2 linked regions of the Elephas maximus indicus genome follow. The protein of the gene in region 1 purifies or fractionates together with the protein of each later gene. This does not show direct contact. Links are inferred from orthologs where the notes say so. Each region holds a gene or a part of one and is shown on either strand. Other genes may lie near its edges.

Region 1 (7,773 bases):
GAGCTTGCATAACGTCCCCTGTAAAATCTAAAGGTAGGCATCCTATAGTCATAGAATGTGTCACTTCTCTGCTTTCCTCTTTATCGTTCTTTTTTCTACTTTTTTTTTTACAAATAAGTTAAAACTAGATAAATTAGGCTAGAAGATTATTCAGGCTTATTACTACTGATAACTCCCCACCCACAATTCTATACACGTTCATACTTTCAGGTCATATAATTCTTTGGAGCGGAAGCTGTTTTACTTGTATACTATTTCTTTATAATTTAAAGAAAAGAAAAAAGTATTATTTACTACCTTTATAAGTTGACTAAATAGAGTTTTTTGGTAATGAAAATGTAAGCTTCTGGAATTGTGCCATTTAGCATACGCTCATATTAATAATTAGCATAATGGCTTTTATCCGATTAAAAAAAACTGCAAAATATTGTATCAGACACATACACACAAAAGGAACTCTTTTCCACAAATATTTAAAGTGTAAGCAACTAAATATCCCCTTCTAAAAATGAAGAGTCACGTAAGAGCCACAGACAAAAGACAGATGACCCACCAAAGATTTTTCCAAACTCTGTCAGTTAAACACCTGGTTGTTGGCCTTTCAGGTAAAGCAGTTGAATGATCTACAATAAAGTATTAAGCCACAATCATGAGACTCTCAGATATTCTCAGCCTATCAAGTCTGCACCCTGCCCTAGGACCCATCTTGTCCCTGCTCCTTCAACAAAGGTTCATCACAGATGGACCCAGGAACAAACAGCTGTTCAGAAAACTGCTACTCAAGTGAACCTCCTGGTTCTACAGTTCAAGCCCGGTGACCAGAAGTCGTAAGTCAGCTTGCTCCATCAGAGCCCACCACTGCCAACAGTAACTAACAGCTGCAGGAGGAGCCTTACCTCAGGTTCTCTGTCCTTTTAAAGTTTTCCCCATTCCCCAAAGCCTTGAGAAGAACATCAGAAACAAAATCATTTAAAAATTAACTTACTTTTCAATTTGACCAGGGAAGGCAGAGCCTGGATTTCACCAGTAACCTAAATATGCATGATTCTTAAACAACAAACTTTCAGAAATGTAATTTGTGATAAAATTAAAAGGTACTCCCATCTCCACCCCTACGACATTGCATAATTTCACATCAATTTATGTTACACATGTATGCAATCCTCTCAACAATTTTTTTTTAAATATGGCTGTTTCTGTTTTGTACTACCCACCATAAAACCAACTAGCTACCATACATCAGACAATTTAGATTTTTGATATCAGATCTTTCTGCAGACAACAAAGGAGGTTATTTTACATTGAACAGGCATAAAGACTACTTAATCCTTGCTCACTGAAGATACATGATATGGCTCTTTTCAAGTTAAGGTCAGATTTATTCTCACCTAATCCTCTAATTTTTTTTTTTTTTTAATCCTCTAGGGTCTTTTCCAACTGTAAGATTTTGTGATTTACAATACACCAAATGGAGGAAGCAGCATCCAAAATTTGTGCCTCACACAAATCAGGAAGGGTTTTCTGGCGATTGAGGCTCACCTCTGTTAAATTTTGAAATTTCTTCTCAAGCGTCATGTACTAGAAACTATCAAGTTAACGTTTTTGCTTAAATCTGTAAAATAAGTTGCTACTCCATTTAGTATACTTTAGAGTGACACAGGAAATAGGATTCAGAAACTACTGAATTATCCAACTTTTATAATTCACTGTACTGTGAGTTCCAGTTTACCTGATGAAAAATTTTAGTACTTCTGCACTACTCCTCCAAGTGTTCCTACACCAGGATTCCTTTCACCTAGGACAGCCTTCTCAAGCCAGATGCCAAAGCTCTCCAAAACCCCAAAGCACGGTATAATTCTTGATCGAACAAAGAGCAACAAAGAGTGGGTGGGAACCACCTCTCACAGAGGCAAGCCAGGACCCAACGAGGCTGAGCTACAACGCAAGCATTAACAGCTCCACGTTTCCCCACCACCTCCTCTTATTTCCCGGGAAGGCTAACTGCCTCAAACTCGAAAACCCTAATTTTTCCTGCAGAAGTGGAGCCCTTTCATTGGAATCCCGCGAAAGTGGCGCTCAAAGAGCCCAGTGAACAAAGGAGAGGGATTGAGCCCACGCATAACACAGGTGGGAGTGTGCCACAAGCCGTACTAGGGGCCACATCCTCACTCACTGCTCTTCAGGAGCAACCCCCGGGTCGGCGGGTCGGGGGGGAGGCTGGAGGAGGAGAAAGGAGAAGACGCACCGGGCTGACACCGCGGGGGCAAGAGGGGAGGTTGGGGAGGGGAGGGGAAGGCGGGCGGGGACTGCAGACAGAGAGGGGGCTGGAGGGGCGGGGCTCCCGCGGCCGCAGGGCTTTGTGTGCAGTCAGGACCGGGGTAGACAGTTTGACCTGGGGGGGACGGGAGAGGGATCGGGTGCAGACGGCCAGAGCAAGGGACCCCAAACCTCCGCTCCCACGAGTGGCAAGCGTGAGAGGCGCGAGGGAGGGCTGTCCCCTTCCCCACTACCACTAAGCCGCGGTAGGCCGGCGCCATCCGCAGAAGCAGCCACCTTCGGGGCAGTGGGCCGCACTGCCAGAGAAAGGGGAGCAGAAGGGAAGTGGGGCGTCCCTCCAGCTCCCGTCCGCGGGGCCGGTCGCGGCGGAGAGATCTCCCACTGGCAGCGCCAGGTCGGGAACGGGTTAAGATTCAGTCAAACGTCTGTCCCTCCTCCTTCACACCCCCAGCACCGGCGCCCACTGGCGACCGCGGCCACCGTGCCGGGCCTGGCGCGGCCCGGACTTGCAGCCTCAGCTCTGCCCGCCCACCCTCCCGGCCTCTCACCATCGTAGTAGTAGCAGACTTTCTTTTTGCCGCCTCCCTGACTGTACGCCATGGGCTCCTCAGCCACCGCCGCCTCCGGGCACCGGCTCCTCCTCTTGCTGCTGCCGCCGCGGCTCGGCGGATAGAGAACAGAGCAGGGGCGAAGGTGGAGGTGGCAGTCCCTCAGGGAAGGGCAGGCCGGAGGGAGGATAGGAGGGGGTGTCGGGAGGGGTCGGTACCACCCAGCCGAGGGGCCAGGCACTCCGAGAAGGGGGTGGCAGAGGCGCCAACTAGCGACACTGGGGAGGGGGCGGAGGCAGCTAAACCACCTCCGGGGGCCGTGGGGAGGTGGGACGCGTCCACTGTGGCCTCTAGAGGGGAGCAAGGAGCACGATTAGAGAAAGATGGTCCACTCACTCTTACGTTAAGAGCCCTAACCCTGAACAAACTATTTGCGGAGGGCGGAGCCAAGTACCGTCACGAAACGAGGAAAAAAAGGCAGGCTTTTTTTCCGCAGGTGGATAAAGGGAGCCTGGAGACAGGTTGCCGTTCTCCCCCTCGGATCTTAGCACAGTCGTTGCGCCTGTCCCGAGCCTGCGCAGTCGCCGCCTTCCCAACCGTAGCCTTCGCCGCCTAGACCCCCTCGGTGTTGTCCCACGCCGCTGCCCTCCCCCACTGTCGCGAAGCTCCCGCTCGAGCCGACCACGTGCCGTGAGCCCGGCGGGAAGAGAAGTGCTGCCCACGGCCGATGTACTTGGTCCTCTTGATTTCCTCATTTGTTCATTCATTCTTTCATTTTTTGCTGTTAATTGGTCTGAGGTACTGGCCTGTTAAGAATCCAATAAAAATGTCAAGAACAGTGTACTGGCTGGGTTTGAATAAGCATTTAGGGAACGTTTACGTGTAAGGCACGGTTCTAAGCAGTTGTGTTTATATTTCATCTCTGCCTATAATAACCAAGAACCAAATCCACTGCCATCAAGTCCATTCCAGTAGGACAGAGTAGAACTGCCACATAGGGTTTCTAAGTCTTTAAACTTTACGGAAGCGGGCTGCCACTTCTTTCTCCTGCAGAGCAGCTGGTGGGTTCCATGAGATCACCAACCTTTCGGTTAGCAGCTGAGGGCTTTAACCACTGCGCCACCAATAAAACAAACCAAACCTGTTACCGTCAGTTGATTTCAACTCCTAGCGACGCTATAGAACAGGGTAGAACCGCCCCATAGGGTTTCCGAGGAGTGGCTGGTGGATTTGAACTGTGACTTTTTGTTTAGCAGCTGAAGGCTTAACCACCGTGCCACTAGGGCTTTGCTCCACCAATAGATACATGTTATATCATTATAGGAACCCTGGTGGTGCAGTGGTTAAAGTGCTCGGCTGCCAACCTAATTGTCTATGTTCTCATTGAACTCACCAGCTGCTCTGCCGGAGAAAGATACGGCAGTCCACTTCAGTAAAAATTTCAGCCTTGAAAACACTATGGGGCAATTGTACTCTGTCCTATAGAGTCACTATGACACTAAAAAAAAAAAAGTGACACTAGGAACCGACTTAAAGACAATGGGTTTGGTTTTGGGCTTATTATATCATTTAAGACTCCCAACAACGCTAGGATGTAAATACTATTTCTGTTATTTAAGACGGAGGCAGATTAAGGAACCTGATCCTCACAACTGCTAACTGGTGGTCTGGGGATTTGGACTCAGGTAGTTGCCCTGGTGGTGCAGTGGAAAGAGCTCAGGTTGCTTACCCAAAGAGTGGGCAGCTCACATTAACCAGCTGCTCCTTGGAAACCCTATGGGGCAGTTCTACTCTGTCCTTTAGGGTTGCTATGAGTCAGAATTGACTGGGCAGCAAGGGGGTTGGTTTTTCGTTTTTTGTGTTTTTTGGGGGGGGGGGTTAGTTTAGTTTTTCACCAAGGAGCCCTGGTGATGCAAAGGATAAACGCTTGGCTGATGACCAAAAGGTTGGCAGTTCAAATCTCCAGCTCTGCTAGAGAAAGACCTGGCATTTTTCCGGAGAAAGACCTGATGGTTTGCGTCTGTAAAGATTACAACCAAGAAAATGCTATGGGCCAGTTCTACTCTATCCCATGGGGTCGCTATGAGTCAGAATCCACTTGATGACACCCAACAACAGTCTTTCTCTAAGATCCACATCCCCTAGCTGCTACACTATACCAATTCTGTTGCTGGCTGGATACTGGAAGATTGGAGCAGCAACCTAAGAGAAAGGACTTTACAAACTCATATAAGTTATAAATACCTCTGTCCCCAGGTCATTAAGTTAACATGTATCAGGGACCTACTCTAAAAGAGCCCCGTATAACACTCTTATCCCAACTATATCATTTGCAATTGTCCCCACAATGCACACTCCCTCCCACACACCCTTTAACTGAAGCAGGAGCTATTTGGAGCTACTATCAAAAACTTGCATTTTGTTTTGCTATATGACTTGAAACTTCCCAGGGTATTCATCTGTACAGCAGCAATTTTCCTGGGCCTCACACACAAGAGGTTTAGTAAAAGTAAGTCCAAGGTAGACCTTCTCCCCACCCTCAATCTTTATTTTTAACGAGTACCACAGGTGCCTGATGCCCATGATACAGGAACCACAGTGTGAGAAACATTGGCTTAGAGGTAAAGTCAATTACATGGCATTGACTTTCTAAGTGTTGCTCTAACGAGTCCAAACTCAATTTGGTAGATTCTGAGAACAGAATAAGTTAATTTAGTGAAAACTAATGTTCTCCCCCATAGGCAACCTCATGAAGTCTGAAATGAGACTCCACTTCTTTCAGATCCCCTCTCCTAAGTTTATTCTCTGTGCCCTTTACATGCTCCCTAGGGCCCTGTAGCCCCTCTAGCTCAACGTTCACCGTGTTATAGTGTCCATGTTGCCCACTTATCAGAATGTCCCTTTGGAACAGAACTTTGTAAGAAGAGGGACTGTGTTTGTCTTGTTCATAATTACATTTCTAATGCCTGTGTGACTTTGGGCAAGTCACTTAAACTTCTTTTTTTCCACTCTGAATTGCCTTATCTGTAAAATGATAGCATTACTTGGAGAGTAATTTTTTATATGAATATTGACAGATTCAAATAAGAATTAATATGGAGACATTTTAAACTGTAAAGAAGTATGTGAATATAAGGGGCAACTATGATTATTCTTATAGTACAAATTATTATAATAATAATTTTTGTCATTTACATTCACAACACCTAGCCTTGACCTTTTGAGAAGAGCCTGAACATGAATCTTGATTGGTTAAGGACAGTAATAGTTATCTAGTGCTGCTTTAACAAATACCACAAGTGGATGGCATAACAAAGGGAAGTTTATTTTCTCACAGTAAAGTAGGTTAAAAGTCCAAACTCGGGGTGTCAGCTCCAGGCGAAAGCTTTCACTGTCCTCCTCTCTCAGCCTTCTCATCAATCTTCCCCTGGACTAGAAGCTTCTCTGCGCAGGAACCCTGTTTCCAAAGGACATGCTCTGCTCCTGGCACAGCTTTCTTAGTGGTATGAGGCCCTCTGTCTCTCTGCTTACTTCTTTTATATCTCAAGAGATTGCCTCAAGACACAATCCAGTCTTGTAGGTTGAGTCCTGCCTCAGAAACACAACTGCTGCCCATCCTCCCTCATTAACATCATAGAGGCAGGATTTACTATATATAGGAAAATCACACACTACCGGAGAATCATGGCCCAGCCAAATTGGTATACAAATTCTTGGAACAAAATTCAATCCACGACACGGACCTTGCTATATTATTTGTTATCTAACTATTTGAAACAAATAGAAGCAAATGAATTTACCTTTGGAATCAGTACTGCAGCAGTTCGATCCAGTGATAAGAGCTGGCCATGAGAATTATGCTCCTAAATATCTATACTGAACTTTAGATCATGAGAACTAAGGTCAAAAGAAGGATCCATTATTGGAACCCTTTGATAAACTCCAAACTTCATTTCCCATATTGAAACATCTCCATCAACCCTTTTTCCATTAGAAAACAGAAAGTTTAAGATGATATGCAATAAAAGAAAACAAGCTGAGAGTGTGAATAATTGATAGAATTCATAATTGAAGATTGTCTTCATCCTTAAACTATTTTGCTTTAGTTCCTGCTCTGTCTATATAAACTTATTTTTTCAGTCTCAAAGATGTTTGGTGCTTTGAGCTTATTCAGTAAAATGATCTGTTAAACCTAAAGGGATTATTTAAACCAGGACTGTTTAAAAACAGATTGCCTGAGCTTTCCCTAAAAATTGTACCCTATTACCAACTATAGCAGATAGTTTAATTTTTAGTTGCTATAAAAGAGCTTTTCATATAATCTTGTTTCTACTCTAAAGAAATTTAGATTTCTTAGTGTTAAATTCTGTGCAGTAATTCTATAAAGTAATACAGAAGGTAGAGGAGCATAGCGACTGATGCTTGGGTGTTGTTACAAACTAAAACAGTCTCAAGCTGAATTCTGATCACTTCAGAGGCACGGTGACTATTTGGAAACCCTGGTGGTGTAGTGGTTAAAAGCTATAGCTGCTAACCAAAAGTCGGCAGTTCAATACACCAGGTGCTCCCTGGAAACTCTGTGGCGCAGTTCTACTCTGTCCTCTAAGGCCACTACAAGTTGAAATCAGCTTGACAGCAACAGGTTTTTTGGTTTACTACAAGTTGTAACTCATAAACCTGAACAGCACGCCAAACATGAGAGATTATGATGTGATTTGAACTGTGCCTTTGTTTAACAAAATTTAATGATTATCCATTTACAGAAAACAATATATATTTCTGAACCATAAATTATCTACTAATTCATTCAGTTACTTTAAACTTTCTAAGGCACTACTGTTGTTATTGATTAATGCTTTGCTGGTGACCTTCAAAACACAGTATCACTTTGATCCCATCCACCTAATTGCACAAATTTTATGATACAATGCTACTCTCGGACTATGCC
Region 2 (8,045 bases), on another chromosome or scaffold:
TTTTGCCCAGTCTCAGCCCTCCTGGGAACTGCAATTTTCAGATTCCAGCAGGTGACCCCGGGGCTGGCTTGCCACACGCCACCAATGAGAGGTTCGGGCTCCAGGATGGGAGACGATAGGCTCGGTTTAAAATCAAAGGCTGTCCCATCGGAGCCCCCAAAGACAGCCTTAAAGCACAACCCAGGTGTCAGCTAGAGAAGGAGACCTGGGCGATCCATGAAGGTGTGGGACCCTGCAGACCAAGGAAGCAGGACAGATATGTGGTGGGGACACCACCTTACACAGGGGGCCGCTGTGAGTACACATGTACCAGGGTCCTCCGCTTATGTGTGCACACACGTGGAAGGTGGGATCAGAAACCTTTCGAAGGGATCAAAGGATCGAACCACCTTCCTGAATAGGATGGGATGGCCTGCCCCATCCACATGCCCCTCCGCCGGCTGCTGGGTCAGCGTTTCATGACAGCAGCACCAGCAGGTATTTGAGTAAAACAAGCCAGCCTACCCTCTTGGGCGGAAACTAGGCTTCACGGCCCCCTAGGCCACGCATGATTTCGACTCACAGCCATCCTCTTCCCCAGACCCCCAAATCCAAAATTAATGGAGCTCCTCCAGGGCAAGCAGCCGAGTGAAGGCAAGCGCCATATAAACAGGGAGCACCCAGGCCTCTGCTACCACCTCCCTCCCACCCCGCACAGCTGACTGGCAGAGAAGAAAGACTCTTCCCACCAGGGAGAAGTCTGTTTGGGCCACTGTCTCCCGCGTCCCACACCCCCATGTCTGGAAACACATTTCCATCTGCTGTTAAGCAACCAGAGAGTCTCAAAGGGAAAGCGTGGACTGGGTGGCGGGGCGGGGGGGGAGGTGGTGGAAAGCTCAGGCGCAGCTAGAGTTAGAGCGGAGAGGAACTTCCACCCCTGGTATGCTCCAAACATGGTAAGTGCCGAGACCTCTCTGTGACCTGCATGGCTGGACTAATTACCAATGTTATCAGGCAGATGACAGACATGCCCTGAACTTCCTCTGTTTGATAGATTCCGCCACAAACACGCTGCTGCAAAAACGCCCAAGCTCCTTCCCATGCCTGCTGTTTTCAGCAGTGCCCGTTCTTCCACAGACCACTCCTGGTCCCTCAACTTCTCTGACCTCCTACGTTGTGTCTCCAAGCTCTGCCAGGCCAAGGAGCCAACCAAGGGCAGGCAGCCTGGTGACCTCTCACCATTACACACCACGCAGGACCAGCACAAACTGCAGAGAAACAGAAAACACCGCTTCCTTCCCTGCACAGGTTTCTAAGGAAGGCTTTAAGATGAGATGAGAACCACCGCTTACCTTTGTCACCACTGGCACTGGGGAACTCCAGCCGGTAGGCCCCTGACGGTTGGGCCCTTGGCCCGCACACACTAGAGTCCCGCACTCCACACAGGCACCAATGATCAGCTGCCGCCCATCGTCCACCAGCAGGCTGTGGCTCGCCCGCAAGGTATAGAGGAACAGGGGTAGTCGGGCCACTCGCACAGCCTTCATTCCTAGACAGCGCTTCTTCTCCTGCTGGCAGAAGAAGCACACAAAGGTCTCTACCTGGTACTGCCGAGACCAGGCACTGATGGCATGGAGGGCACCACGGGCCTCATGCTGAAGCCACTGACCCAGCAGGTCGTGGTAGCAGAGCACACAGGTCGCCACCAGGCCGGTGGAGTCCACAGGCCTGGCTCTTGGGGCAGGCGGGTACACAGTGAGGAAGGGGAAGAAGGGCTCCTTCTCACCCAGGCAGCTGGAGGGGTTCACATTGAGCTGAAACTCCTTCCCAGGGCCCAGCTCAGCCCCGCAGATGTAGCAGACAGATGCTGGGCTGCCCTGGGCTGCGGTGGGCGGCTCAGAGATTCCTGAGTCAGACGCAGAGAAGGCCTGGTGGTATCTGCCCAGGAAGGCCTGCACGGAGGTGATGAGCTCCTCATTCTGGCAGGCCCGGTACAAGGCCCAGACATCCTCCAGAACGCTGAAGCACTTGGGGCAGCTATGGACCTCACAGAGCTTGTTGGGGGCCCGTGCATTGGGGGGGCAGGGCAGCAGGCTGAGGAAGGGGAAGTGCATGGTGCTCCTGGTGCTGCCATTGAGGATCCTGGAAGGCACAGCTCGGGCATCCTGGGTGCAGTCCTCGCCACAGAGGTAACAGGCCTCCCGAAGGGCTGCGGCAGGCACACCCTCTTCCCTGGGCAGCCTTCTGCCCTTGGAGGCCATGCCCGGCGCACGGCTGTTCAGAGGCACCACGTACAGCCGCTGCAGGACAGGGACACTCGCCAGCTCGAAGCTCTGCCACTGCTGCATGAGAGAGGTGAAGCAGCAGGCACACACCAGTGTGCTGCCTCCAGGACTGATGGGACGTGCGCCTGAGGGCGGGCTGTGCAGCCACAGGAAGGGGAAGAACGGGGCCTGTGCCAACTTCTCCTGCTTTTGCACGTGGATCTGGTGCTGCGACGCCGCCGACAGCGCTGACCCACAGATGTAGCAGCAAGGTCCCTCCGGTGGTACCACACGGCTCTCCGGGGCCCCCCGGGGGACCCGGTCACTGTTGTCCTTCTCTTTGGGGCCGCAGGGGGCAGGGAAGGGCTGCTCCTTGTCGTCCTCTTCCTCGCTGGTGATGTTGATGTCACTGTCTTCAGAGGTGCAGTAGCCCCCGTGGGTCTCCCCCAGCAGCCTGCTCTCTGGAGTCTTGGTGGGCCTGCCAGAGGGGGGCCCTTTCATTCCATCTGCAGCAGGCGCTTGGACTGGTGGGTCTTGCCAAGTGCCCTGAATGCCCCTCAGGACGCTGGCCCGGGCCTCAGGGGCCCAGTGCCTCCCAGTCCCCCTCCGCCGGCGCCCGCTGCCGGTCCTGGGCTCCCCGCTCACGTGCAGCTTCGCAGGGGCCCCCTCCTCGTCCACGTCCCCCTGAGCGGGGGGCTCTGCGCTCTGTCCCAGAGGAAGTCCCGGCGCCGGCCTCCACTCCAGGCCGCGGGGCCCGCGAGGGCCTGGCCCCGGGGTGCTCCGCGGCAGCGGCGCCCCGTCCTGAGCCGGACTGACGGCGTCGTGCGCGCCCGGGTCGGGCTCGGAGAGGGGATCGGTGTCCGACAGCTCGGACAGCTCGGAGTCGCGCGCCTCGTCGGCGGGCGCGCGGGGCCCGGGGCCGCCGTCCTCGTCGTCGTCGTCGCCCGCGCCGGCGCCCAGCGCGTAGGCGACGTTCCACTCGCGCGGGGCCCCCGCGCCCCCGCGGCGCCCGCCCGCGCCCGCCTCGCACTGGTGCGGCCGCTTGAGCCAGTACATGCGCTTGTCCACTGGCGTGCGGGCGCGCTCGAAGGCGGCCCACTGCTCTCCCAGGAAGCAGCGGCACACCGCGCACACCAGCACGCAACCGTCGGCCGGCGAGAGCTCGCGCGCGCCGGGCGCCGGCTCCTGCTGCTGCAGGAACGGGAAGAAGGGCTGCGCCGGGGCCCCCGCACCCGCCGCCGCCGCCGGCTGCTTCACCTGCAGCTTCAGCTCCTTTCCGCGACCGATGCCGCCGCCGCAGATGAAGCAGGAGAGCGGCGCGCCGCCGCCGCCCGCCGGCCGCTCGGCCAGCGCTGCCATAAGCCGCTGTTTGCGGGAGACCGGCGCCGCCCGCCCGCTCATCGCTCACCGGCAGCCGCGGGCCCCGCCGCCTTGCCGCCCAACTTGGACCATGAGCGCGCGCCGCAAAGTTTGGCGGCGGCCGGCAGACGCCGGGCGGGGCGCGCGGCCGCTCGCGGGGGCGCCCCCCGGGCCTGCCGAGCACCCGGCGGCGGCGCAGGCCGAGGCGGCGCCGCGGCGAGCGCGCCCGGAACGCAGCGGCGGCGGTGGCGGGCTCCGGGCGGCTGGAGCGGCAGCCGCATGTGCGAGCTCCGGCGCCTGCCAAAGCGTTGGGTCATTTAATTGGGGAGGAGGGAGACGGGCGGGCGGGCGGGTGGGCGGGCAGGGAGGAGGAGGGCAGGCGGGGAATCCCTCCCTCGCGCGCTCCCTCCTCCTCCTCCTCCCCCTCCCTCCGCCCTCCTTCCCTCCTCCCGCGTCCCAAACTGCGCACAATAGCTCGCCGGCTCCACTATCTATTTTGTGTCCAGCCCCGGAGCCGCGCACAATGATTCATTGCCCCAATTAGGGGCTCTCTCCAGCCCGCCCGGCTAAAGCCGTCTGAAGGGCCTCCTCAGGGACCCGCCGAAGCCCATCAGCGGCCAAGGCTGGTCTTTAAGTAAAGGTCAAGGAGGACGCAGAACGCCAGAGGAACCAGGTAAGGACGCCCCTGGAGACCGAGGTGCATCCGCAGATGAAGGGCAGCTCCCGGACGGAGGCCCCCCTACCCGCTCAAAAGGGGGGCGGGGGCTGAGTGAGGGCCAGTTACTAGAAGCTGAGCAGCCTAGGGGTGAGGGAACTTTTCAGGCCCGGCTTTCTAATTTTGGAGACAGAGAAGAGGAGCTGTCCTGGAACACGGTTAGTGAAGCATCAGTCTGGGGGCCCAGCCAGGCCCCCCGTCCCCCCGCCCCCCGTGTTGACCAGAGGCCACTGGATCACCACCAGAGGCAGAAAAGGTCCTATGTGTCTAGGGGCAAGGGACTCAACCTGTCTGAGAGTCTTCCCCCCTTCTGGACAAACAGGAACTGCAGCAGAGGGTAACTGTTTCCAGTGCATTTACTGAATATGTGTATAAATACAGTGAGTTTATTTAAGGAACACGTAGCGAGAGACCCTACTGTGTGCTAGGCCCCATTCTAAGCGCTACACATATTAGCTCAGTTACTTCTCCCAATAACTCTGAGTTGGGTGCTGTGGTCAGCCCCATTTTTGAGATGGGAAAAATGAGGCATAGAGGGTTAATGTGGGAAGTGGTGGGGCTGGGATTCAAACTCAGGCAGTCCAGCTCCAGGCCCCTGCTCCCAACGATCTGGCTGTGCAGCCTTGATGGGCACCTGACATATCTGGTCCGTCATCCATGTGCTGATAGGCCATCCCCATCAGGGAACATGGCCAGGACTCCTCCGTTCTCCCTGCGGTCCTGGCTCAGCCTTGGGCAAACCCAGGCCTCTCTGGTCCTCACATCTCCCATCTGTGAAATGACGCCCCTTCCAGCTTCAAAACTCTGTGAGCCTCTGATTTCCAAGCAGTTGACAGCTGTCCGACCTGGCAGCTGGAGCCCAGAAGTCGGCCTGGTGACAATGGTGCCAATTGGCCCCTCCGGCCTCTGGGGCGTTGACTTGTAAATAAAACTGGGCTTCCTCTTGGCACAAAGGAGGCCATGCATTATAAATAAACAGAGCAAGAGAAAAGGGCCACCTCTGTGGAATCCCACGTGGATACTCCAGGGGTCACAGTCCAGAGGTTAATGTGAACATCTTGGCCAGAAATGCCCTCATAGTGGAAAAACGCTGCGTCAGCAAAACTGTCCCAGAGGAATGTCAGGGGCAGGGCAGGAGGGCAACAGGAGGGGGCTGATTAGGAAAATGTTAAAGGGTGAGGTCTGTTCAATTGTATCCCCACACATTAAAGGGGGACTGGCCAACGTCCCTCTCCCCCCACATATACACGCAGAGGGGCTGCTGGTAAAACAATGCCGAGCTTAGGAGATCTAGGTAGGCTGGGGAGTTACACCTGGATCCCACAGGGCTTGGCAGGGCTGTCCCTCTGCCCAAATGCTTTCCCAGGCTCTCTTTGCCAAGCTGCTCCAGCTCATCTTTAAGGTCTTGGCCGAAATGTCATCCCAAGAGACTTCCCTGTCCACTCCCCCTAAAGGGAGGCCTCCCCGGTGACCCTTTGTCTCTAGTCCTTGGCATAGGAATTTGCCATTGACTTTAATTATTTTTTCTGTCTGCTTGTTCCCCATCCAGCTCCCCCGGGAGGCTGGGTGCTCCCTCATCCAGGGCAGGGACCAGTCAGTTCTGCTCACTGTGTATGTCCAGTGCCTGGCTCAATGCCTGGGCCCCACACACCGACCTCTCATGATTTTTTGAGCAGATCAAATGAGGTAGAGGGAGTGATGCCCTGGCACAGGGGAGCCGGCATGCTGTTGGTGACAGTGCATGTCCCTTCTTGTCTCACCCAGTGGTAAAGGAGGTTCTTCTGCTGTCTGTCTGCACTCCAGGGGGCAGGGGGTGCGACTGTGATGAGGTTGTGCAGAGTCTGAGGGAGAAGGGCCACAGGGGTCAACTGGACAAAAAGTGGGAAATGGGATTTTCTTGGCTAAGCTGGAGATTCAGGAGAACTACTGGATGTGTGCCACGTGTATGCGAGTGCATCTGTGTACATGTGTGCATGTGTATGTATGCATGCATGCGTGTTCATGTCTGCATGTATGCGTGCATTCATTGTGTGCATGTGTGTGTTTGTGTGTTATTGTGTGCATGTATGTGTATCCATTATGTACGTGTGTGTGCACGAGTATATGTGCATTCATTGTGTTCGTTTACATGTGTATGTGTGCATTCATGTGTGTGCATGCATTCATACGTGTATGTCTCTGTGTGTGTGCATGTACGTGTAAAGTGGGCCTAGAGCAGGGGTGGGGAGTGCTCAAGTGGATGTTTTTGCTTCTCTCAATGACCCAGTGATTCAGAAAATCCCTGTCTCAGGAACCAGCTTGGTGGAGCTGGGACTTGAACCCAGGCTGTGTCTCTGTAACCCCCTGGTATGTGAGCTATTAAGATTAGCCTTGCCCTAAATTCTGAGGCGCCAGCTGGATAGGACAAGCATGGCCAAGAAGGTCCCATATCCCCTCTCCCATGTTCCCATTTTCACGCCTAAGGAAATAAGGGCTTCACAGATTTGAGTCTTGACACAAAAAAGGCTGGGTATGGGTGAGGAAGATGAGGACAGCATGCCAAAGCTCGTTGGTATTAACGTCACGTGCCAGAGTAGACTCCAAGTACCTGCTTCTAAGGAGAAAATGCAAAAGGCTCAAAGTGGGAAGGGCCCGCGAAGCATCCTGCCAAGAGTGTGGGGCCCACAGCTTCAGGGTCCCAGGAGAGCCATCTCTTTGCCTTCTGTCTTGGTCTCCTAGTGCTGCCATAAGAACAAAAATTTATCAGCTCACAGTTCTGGAGGCTGGGAGTCCAGATCAGGGCAATGGCCATGTGGATCCCTTCTGAGGCTTTGAGAGAGGAGCAGTTCCATGTTCCGTGCCTCCGTCCTAGCTTCTGTGGCTGCCGGCAATCCTTGGCATGCCCTTTGCTGCTTGTAGAGATATCTTCACATGGCGTCTTCCCGTATGTGTGACTCTGTATCTGTGTCTGATCTCGCCTTTTATAAGACATCACTCAGAAGGGATTAGGACACACCCTATTTGGCAGTTCAGACCCACCCAGAGGCACCTCAGAAGACAGTCCTAGCCATCTGCTACCGAAAGGTCACAGCCTTGAAAACCCTATGGAGCAGTTCTACTCTGCACACATGGGGTCACCATGAGTTGGAATCAACTGGGCAGCAGCTAACAAGAACAACAATAACTCCAGCATAACCTAGTTAACTGATAGCATCTGCGAAGAAAGGACCTATTTGCCAACAAGGCCACGTTCACAGGTACGTGGGTTAGGACTTCCACATATCTTTTGGGGGATATAGTTCAACCTATAACACCTCTCCTCTGAGCCCTACAACCCTCCCTGCGGGCAGAGAGAGGGTGCCAGGTTCCCTCCAGACCATGTGATGCCCAGCCCTGGCTCCTTCCATCTTAAATTCCTAGGACTCGAGTGTGGCGGATCTGGAAAGCAATGACAGATGCTCCCAGGCAGACCCTGCATTGGGAACTATGGTGTAAACACCCCACCTCCAGTCTCAGGAGACCAGGCAGCATGGAACACCTGGGCACATGTCAGATTTGCAGCTACCTGTAGGGTCCTTTGAGCCCCCAAACCACAGGAATCTGCCCTCACTCTGCCAGGAGAGTTGTTTCCAGCTCTGAGCACACATGGTTTTGTTGATCTGTCTCTATGCCTCCTCTCCTCGGGGAAAGCCTGGGTCTGCTGCCCTGTGCTGTCCCACATTTTCACAAGTGGGCATATGGGGGGGATC

The links.
Region 2: the proteins of HDAC2 (region 1) and GSE1 purify together in Homo sapiens (affinity purification with mass spectrometry; 5 studies listed by BioGRID and IntAct, with this or other methods). This does not show direct contact. The link is inferred for Elephas maximus indicus from reciprocal best matches to the Homo sapiens genes HDAC2 and GSE1.

What each region holds. Positions count from the first base shown.
Region 1 is NC_064819.1:180,219,985-180,227,757, forward strand, and holds the start of HDAC2 (histone deacetylase 2), read right to left. Parts: upstream 3,126-7,773; 5' UTR 2,878-3,125; coding exon 2,826-2,877; intron 1-2,825. UniProt on the Homo sapiens protein: Histone deacetylase that catalyzes the deacetylation of lysine residues on the N-terminal part of the core histones (H2A, H2B, H3 and H4).
Region 2 is NC_064839.1:51,005,121-51,013,165, reverse strand, and holds the start of GSE1 (genetic suppressor element 1), read right to left. Parts: upstream 3,066-8,045; 5' UTR 2,745-3,065; coding exon 1,332-2,744; intron 1-1,331.